2 linked regions of the Oryctolagus cuniculus genome follow. The protein of the gene in region 1 interacts with the protein of each later gene in a biochemical or structural test. Links are inferred from orthologs where the notes say so. Each region holds a gene or a part of one and is shown on either strand. Other genes may lie near its edges.

Evidence for each region.
Region 2: the proteins of CFLAR (region 1) and DEDD2 form a complex in vitro, tested with the Homo sapiens proteins (2 studies listed by BioGRID). The link is inferred for Oryctolagus cuniculus from reciprocal best matches to the Homo sapiens genes CFLAR and DEDD2.

Annotation. Positions count from the first base shown.
Region 1 is NC_091434.1:38,896,727-38,900,957, forward strand, and holds the start of CFLAR (CASP8 and FADD-like apoptosis regulator), read right to left. Parts: upstream 3,067-4,231; 5' UTR 1-3,066. UniProt on the Homo sapiens protein: Apoptosis regulator protein which may function as a crucial link between cell survival and cell death pathways in mammalian cells. Acts as an inhibitor of TNFRSF6 mediated apoptosis.
Region 2 is NC_091449.1:12,806,257-12,810,541, reverse strand, and holds the start of DEDD2 (DNA-binding death effector domain-containing protein 2), read left to right. Parts: upstream 1-1,187; 5' UTR 1,188-2,208; coding exon 2,209-2,448; intron 2,449-3,041; coding exon 3,042-3,408; intron 3,409-4,285. UniProt on the Homo sapiens protein: May play a critical role in death receptor-induced apoptosis and may target CASP8 and CASP10 to the nucleus. May regulate degradation of intermediate filaments during apoptosis.

The sequences.
Region 1 (4,231 bases):
AACTCTCTCTCTCTCTCTTTCCCATTCATCTTTCCCTCTGTCTCTGTTGCTTTGCCTTTCAAATAAATAAATAAAAAATAAATAAATAAATAATTTAAAAAATACAGCTGGGTGGGGAGCCCTTCTTGGATAAGAACAAATAAAATATGAAACAACTAATACCTGTTCCTTCAAAGGAGTACACATTTGATTGGATTTGTTTATATAGTTACTTATATCCAGGGTACTGTTAAAAACAAAGGAACAAAGCCAGCAGTTAGCGGAGTTTAACAGTTGGAGGTGGTCAGGGAACCAGAGGAAGAGAGCTCTGTCAGAAGCCACTGCCATCCAAGGTGACAACTTTAAAAAACTAAAACTGTGTGTGGTGCTGGTGGTATGCAGTGAATTTGCCTCAGGTAATGCAGTCACTAAACAAGCAAAAACAGATGCTTCTCAATTTATGATAGGGTTTTTATCTTACAAACCCACCAAAAGTTGAAACTATCATTAGTCAAGATGGATTTAATACATCTAACCTACCAACCATCACAGCTTAGCAACCCAGTGCAGTATACCCTTGTGATCCGTGGTCTAGTGGGAGATATGGCTTACTACTGTTGAAAATATCATGATAGAGAATTGTACTCCATATTGCCACCCTAGGAACAGATCAAAATTCGAAATCTGAAGTACAGCTGCTTCTCAAATGCATACCACTTTTGTATATCTAAAGCCAGAAAAGTGTTAAGTCAAATCATCAGAAGACCAGGACAGTCTGTAACAGTAACTGGGGAGAGACCAGTCCTGAGGGCTGTTACAGTGCATTATGTTCAGTGCCCTGCTTTCACAAACGATTATGAGGCGCGCAGAGACAAGAGAATACGACCCACACACTGGAGCAGGGGCGAGGGGAAATCCAGCACAGAAACCACCTGTGAGAATGACCGGATGTTGGATTTATCATTTTGAAAGAATTCAAAGTAGCCATTATAAACATGTTTACAGAACTAAAGAAAAGTATAACCAAAGTAAAGGAAGTTACAATGATAATATCTATTTGATGTTACATCAAATAAAGAATATCAATAAAGCAGCAGAGATTATAAAAATAAACCAAATAGAAATTCTGGACAGCATAATTCTGGAAATACTGTAAAGTATAGTAACTGAAATAACTTCATTAGGGGCCCCACAGTAGAAGAAATCTGCACTGGTAGAAAAAAGAATAAACTAACTTTTAGATAAATCTATTGAGACTACACAAAGCCAAGGGAAACAGAAAGAAAGAATAGAAAAATGAAAAGTGTGTCAGAGAAATGTGGGACCAATAAAATAAGGATACTGGAAGGAGAGGAAGGTGACAAAGGGGGGAAAATCTATTCAAAGGATTAATGGCAGTAAGCTTCAAAAATATATTGAGAAACAGGAAGCTACACACCCAGGAAGCTCGGCGAAGTCCCAGTAGGTAAACACATCGAGATCCACAACAGACACATCACAGTGAAAAAGTTCAAAGTCAGACAAGGCAGGTGGGGAGAGGGGCAAGAGAACAATTCCTTAATTACCAGTAAACATCAGTAAGGTCAACAATGACTTCTCAGTAAAAGTATTAAGGACCAGCAGCACTGGAAATTGCAGTCAAACCTCCCAGAGGAAAAAGCTGCAACCAAAAATCCTTTACTCAGCAGAGCAGTCTTATGAACATGAAGGTGGAATAAAAACATTTCCAAGGGAGCAAAAAGTAGAGAAGTTACGCTAGCAAACCTGTCTTACAGGGACACGTAAGGAAGTTCTTCAGATGAAAGCAGATGATCCCAGGCAGTAGTTCAAATCCACAAACAAAACAAAGCAAAAAGCACCAGAGAGATAATTTTATAACTAGTTGTAAAAGATAATTTAAGTGAATATTTTCTCTTATTAACTTATTGTATAAAAAATGGAATGTTGGGCCCGTAACATATAGGAATGTAATACATGTGAAACCTCCAATAATAGCACAAAGGCAGTGAGTGGAAATAAAGTTGTATTTGACTAAGACAATGGGAACAAATGGTAAGGAAATAATTATAACAATGTCCTGTTAGGTGTGTAACATTAACTAATGTTAAATATGTTGTGTAAAATACCACAAAAGAAAAGAAGAGAGAATACAGGTATACAGGAATAACTGCAACTAGCTAGTATAAACTTGAACCTACTTCTGATTATATGTATACGGTAAATCTGGGGCAAACACTAAATAATGACAAAAATAACAATTCCAAAACACAGAAGGGCAGATTAGAGGGACAGAAAAGACCTGAAACATAGAAAACAGAAAGTAAAATAGCATAAATAAATCCAACTAAGTCAATGATAACATTAAATGAAAAGGTATTAAATAATCCAAAGACAGAGGTTGCTATATAGCATTAAACAAACAAACAAACAAACAAACAAAAACTATGTTCCTATTGTATGCCTTTATAGGAGGCATTCTTTACATTAAAAAATAGAAATTGGATGAAAGTTAAAGAATGGAGAAATACGTATCATGCAAACAGCAACCAAAAGAAAGCTGGAGTGGCCCCTTGTTGTCCCACGCTGTTGCTATGGATTCGTTCTGAGATGAGGAGTGTGGTGGGGGCAAGAGGCGCAAGTCACCATACGACCCTGAGAGTTGGGTGAAAGTGGGCCAGAGGTGAGCAGCCCGAAGGCTCATTTATTTCAGTTGGTACAACAGCTTATATAGCCAAGGCAGCCAATCCGGTCAAGGGGCGGTCTATGCCCTAACCAATCACAGCCTGTTGCCCGGCAGGCTCCATTGCCAGGTGGGTTTCAAAGCCATTCCTGAGTAACTGACACTCACTTGCCAGCGGCCATCTTGGCATGGCCTTATTCCACCTCACTAAGCCTTGGGCTTGTGGCCTCTGGCTGCCTGCTCTCTGCTTTTCTGCCCACGCTACATTACCTGTGGCTGCTCCTAACTGCACACTTGCTCCACCTGGTTCCCTACCTGCTCTCTGCCTGATATCAACCCAACTTAATTTCTAGACTTCTTTCTACTCTAGACTTCTTTTCCCCTAAAAAAAAAAAAAAAAAAAAAAACCCTCACTTTCCTGTGTATTTCTCTCACTGAATACAGGCTGAAAACTGTACCATGTTGCCTGTTTCATTTATAAGCAGCTGATATTTAGAATTCTGATCTAAATATACAGCAAGAACCCTTGAAATTTTGAGTAAAGGTGCCCGACTTTAGTATTTTAAGTGAAAGATGGAGTAGAACAACCAGTACTGTGGCGTAGCGAGTAAAGCCGCCATCTGCAGCATAGGCATCCCACATGGGCACTGGTTCCTCCATTGGCTGCTCCGCTTCTGACCCAACTCCCTGCTAAACTACTTGGGGAAGCAGCGGGGGGGGGGGGGGGGGCCTCTGCATCCACATGGGAGACCTGGATGAGGCTCTTGGCTCCTGGTTTTGGCCTGGCCCAGCCCTGATCATTGCAGCCATCTGGGGAGTGAACCAGCAAATGGAAGATGTCTCTCTCTTTCTCCCTCTCTCTGTAATTCTGACTCTCAAATTAAAATAAATCTTAAAACACACACACACACAGAGATGGAGTAGAGGCATTGGGATCATATTAGCATGTGGAAGACACTGTCCAGTTCCTGGGGGAACACATTTGAAGGGGCACAAATGGACGTGAAGACTTCAGAGAGAGTACCAGGGTTCTCCCAGGCAGATGCTGATACAGCCTTGGACTAGAACAGCAGGAGAGGAGTTACAGAGGTGACTACAGCAGTTCCCCATTACTGGTGTGTGTGTGTGCATGTGTCTCTGTCTGTGTGTGTGTTCTCAGACTGCAAGTGGAGGCCTGAATACACAGAGTACCCAATCTTACATATACTGTGTTTTTTCCTATATGCACATACCTTTGATAAAGTATTTTATAAATGAGGCACAGTAAGATATTAACAACAATTATGAATAGGAAAATAAAATTCAGAAAATATACCATGATGAAAGTTATTTAGAATCTAGGAATTCATAGGACCCGTGTTGTGGTATAATGGTTAAAGCATCCCATACAGGCATCAGTCCTGGCTACAACACTTCCAATCTAGCTCCCTGCAGATGCTTCTGAGAAAGCAGGCAAAGATGGCCCAAATCCTTGGGCCTCTGCACCCATGTGGGGACCCGGATGAAGTTTGTGGTTCCTGGACAAGGCCTGACCCATCCCCCTGGCCATTTCAGCCATCTGGGAAATGAACC
Region 2 (4,285 bases), on another chromosome or scaffold:
TATCTCTTCTTCACCTCAGCTAGCGCTGTGGGGGGGGGGGGGGTGGCATGGGGAGAGTGGCTTAAGCCCTGCAGAGCAGGAGTTGCCAACAGGGAGGAACTTCCACGGCCACGCACAGGCCTAGCACACAGCCGGCACCGGGCAGATACCCAACTCGCGCAGGTGCGACAGCCACGCCCCCTGGGCATCACCACCGTCCCTGTGCGCCTTCCACATCCCCCCGCCCGACTGTCCCGTGAGGCAGCGACTTCCCACAGTACGCGGCCTAACAAACGGCCCCGGATTCAGCTGGTGCACAATGCATCCTCCCTGGATAAAGGAGTCCCTGAAAGTCCAGGAACTAAACTCCCCTCGTCTACCTCTTCCCATGCCCTACTTCGCTTTTTTTTTTTTTTTTTTTTGAGTTGCCAGGGTCCCGCACACGAGAGTCATCCCGCCAAGCAGGGACTCGGGGACCCAAGAACCGTTTCTCCGTGTTCAAGCTCTGCTCCAGAGAACTCCCGGGTACCCAACAGATGCCTCTGTAGGAGATGACCCGGGAGACCCTCCTCGTCGCCAGTCTTGGGAGTGTGAACTCTGGGGGGGAGAGGGCTGGGGGCTTTTCGTACAGTAGATCGGCGTCTTTCCAGGAAAGAACCAGCCAGGGGGCCTGGAAGTTCAACTTTCCCGCTCCACAACCCTTTTCTCCTACCAGCCTGAGACCCTCCTTCAGGGCTGCGGGCGAGGGAGCAGGCTCAAGCGCGGGGTCTTGCACACCACGCTCCAGGGCGCTCTCCTTCCACCCCGCACTGTCTCCGCCCTGGAACAGGCCTCAGGGCTCCTCCGACCCCGAGTGTCCGGCTCGTTCTCCCTCTGCCCTCTCCGCACGCCCGGCGCGCTCTTCCCGGGCCCGTCCCGCGGCGCCCTCACCCGTCTCTTTCGCCTCCAGCAGCCCCTTGCCGCTCTCAACACAGACCCTCGGTTCCAGGCGTGTGGGACCCCTCACTATCCACGCCTCCCATTGGGCGGCGCCTTTACCCGTAGTGGCCAATCAGAGCCGGCAGCGGAGGGCACGCGCCCTTGCGCCTGCGCGTTGGCGCTCAGGTGGGGCTCTGCGAGTTTCTCCACGCACACAGTCGTGCCCTGTGGGCGGGGCCCGGGCCGAGGCGCGGCGCCTGCGCAGTTCTCCCGGGCCGCTCCTTCGCTGCCGAAAGTTCAGTCGAAAGAAGTGGGCGCCCGTGGGCCCGGGGCGGTGGACGCGATCAGAGTGTGTCAGGTCGGCTGGAGAGACTGGCTCTGGGGCCAGACACACGTGGGGTACTTCCTCTCTCCGGGCCTGTGTTGCGGACTCACATCCACGTCAGAAGCCGTTGACGGGATGGAATGAAACCACACACGGAAAAGGGCTCGGCAGAGGGCCCGACAGAACCCACCGAACACGGCCATGCTCGCCGCAGTCGGCGAGGTCGCTTTCCCGTTCCCCGAGGAGGCGCCCGCTCCGTGTCCGGCCAGGGGCCATCCCGCAGGCGTTCATGGGGAAACTGAGGCCCAGAGGGGAGGGAGGGGCTCTTCCTAGTACAGCCCTGCACCCCAAGCAGCAGTCACGTCTGCCGCCTCCCAGGCGGAAATAATTCCGGGGAGGGGACACGACTCGACCTTGAGTCACTAAGTGGGGGCAGCATTCGCAGGCCCGGGGACGCGGGTCCCCCCGCCGGACCCAGGCTCCTCAGTGCAGGCTGGGGAGGGCGCGACTGTGTGACTCCGACTGCGGGGTCCACGCCGACCCTGTGCCTGGGGGAGTCGTGGTGAGCGCCACCGGGAGGTTTAGTCGGGACGGCGGGGTTCACTGCGCTTTGTCTCGAACCCGAGATGGGCGATTCCTGGTCTCCATCAGAGGGTGGAGGTGGGGTTCCCCGGTCGGGGTCCTGAGCCCCCACAGTTAAGAAGCAGGCTCCTGGCTGCCATGAAGAGTGGGGGAGGGTCCAGTGGGCGCAGCTGGGGAGTTGGGAAGGCCCTTTGCCATGGGCAGCAAGGGCAGGAGTAAATGTGGGAGTCTAGGTGGTGATCAGGAGGGGTGCTGCGCTCCGTGAGATGAGTCATCCTAATACGGCGTGATGTGGGGGCAACCAGGACCTGGTGGCTCAAGTGATCGGCTGGAAGCGGGGACCCTGCCCCCAAGGTGCAGGACCCAGCCCAGCGGCGGCGCAGGGCTAAGCTCTCCGATTGCGCATGCGCAGCACAGGCGGGCCAGGAAGCTTCGGTTGGGGGCGGGTCAGGCGGCCCGGGAGGGGCGGTGCTAGGAGGCTTCATTCTGCGCCTGCGCGCACGGGGCGTGGCTGTCGCACCTGCGCGAGTTGGGAGGCGGAGGAGGGGCGAGATGACGCAGGCGTAATAATAGAGAAGGTGCCAGAAAGATCCAAAACAAGTGGCTGCGGCCGTCGCCCGGGAGTCCTCGGACGCCGGAATCCGGTGAGGATCGGGCGAGGCCTAAGGGCGACTGGTGGCGGGGTAGACGGAACCCCCGGGGCCCTGGGGAGAAGCCGGGACCGCCCTTGTCGGGGCGAGGGAGTGGGGTTCGGACGGTACCACCTGTGCGGGACGTAGGGCTGCCTCGGTCGGTCCCACTTGGAGGGGGCCACTTGGGTGGGGCTGTGGGGCCAGTCGCACGGTACTGCTGGACCGAGCCGAGGGACATGTCCGGACAGCAGTGCTCAGAGTCGGGGCGATAGACGGGGTGCTTTGGAATGGGCCCTGGGGCTGGTTCGGGCCGAATCGCTGGGTCGGTCTGGAGACCAGTACGGAACGTACCACTTGGGGAGGGGCGTTCGGGCTAGGCCGGCCGGACTGGTCGGCGGAGGAGCGGGGTCCGGCGTCTCGACCTGTTACTAGGGGACCTCGGATGATACCACTCCGTCCCGGGGGAGGGGGAGGCCGAGACGGTTGGAGGTGCGGGGGCGGCCCTGCCCTGCGGCGCGGGGCGGGGGGGCTCGCTCTGACCGGTGCGAGGTCCGTGCCCCTGCGTCGCTGACCACCGTGCCCTCTTCTCGCCGTGTGGGTTCTAGGCCCTGGTTCTGAGCTTGTCCTGCACCCCTCCCCCGGTAATGGCGCTGTCCGGGCCGACCCCGGCCCCGAGCTGGGAGGAGGATGAGTGCTTAGACTACTACGGGATGCTGTCGCTTCACCGTATGTTCGAGGTGGTGGGCGGGCAACTGACCGAGTGCGAGCTGGAGCTCCTGGCCTTCCTGCTGGACGAGGCCCCCGGGGCGGCCGGAGGCCTGGCCCGCGCCCGCAGCGGTCTGGAGCTGCTGTTGGAGCTGGAGCGTCGTGGGCAGTGCGACGAGAGCAACCTGCGCCTGCTGGGGCAACTCCTGCGCGTGCTGGCCCGCCATGACCTGCTGCCGCACCTGGCGCGCAAGCGGCGCCGACCAGGTAGGGGCGAGTGGGGGGGCAGGCTTCCGCAGGGCCCCGCTGTGGTCTTGTCTGTCCATCCCACAGCTCCAGTCCTCCCAGCAGTGCCAGTGAGAGACGCGAGAGGGAGGAGACAAGGCTTTGGGAGGGGTGAGCTTGTGGAATTTGGCTGCATCGGTAATAAAGATTGTGACCACCGTAGTGGAGGGCACGGTGGTGGCCCAGCCCCTTACGTCCTCAGTCCTGCGCTGGCCCCGCTGTGCAGGGGCAGGAAAGACCCTGCTCAGAGAGGCAGTTTGCCCTCGTAGGTGTGGACACAGGGTGGTGGGGCTGAGGTGTGTGTTTCATGAAATTTGTATTTAGTGGGGAACCAGCCAGTAAAACAGACGAGGAACTTGTTTTGAGGTGGTTTTAGGAAGCTTGAAAGAATAGAGACAGTGGGGAGTGCAACAGAGGGAACAGAGGCTGCGCCAGGTGGGATGAGCGTTGAACGCCTTTCAGAGAAGGTGACGGCTGAGCTGAGCCCGCACTGCAGCCCTGCACAGATCTTAGGAGTTCCAGGCAGAGGGAGAGGCAAGCATCTAAGCCCGGCACACACTCGGGTGAGGAGCTGGGCGCTAAGGGGCTTGCAGGTAGCATAGCTAGGAGATGCGGGGCCCTTAGTCCCCGGGAGGGAAGTGCTTCTGGGGGCAGGCAGGCCCAGGGGCCGGAAGGGTTGCTCAGGCTGCTGAGCCCTTGTCTGGGTCACTGGAGGGGAGGGGTGGATTATGGGCTTTCCTGGGCCAGAGTAAGCCGGTGGGATTTAGATAACCCAGAGAGGGGCAGTTTTAGGGAAGGCTGACAGTGTTTTGGAAGAACTTGGGGGTCAGGCTGTGGAAGGGGAGATTCGGGCCTGCAG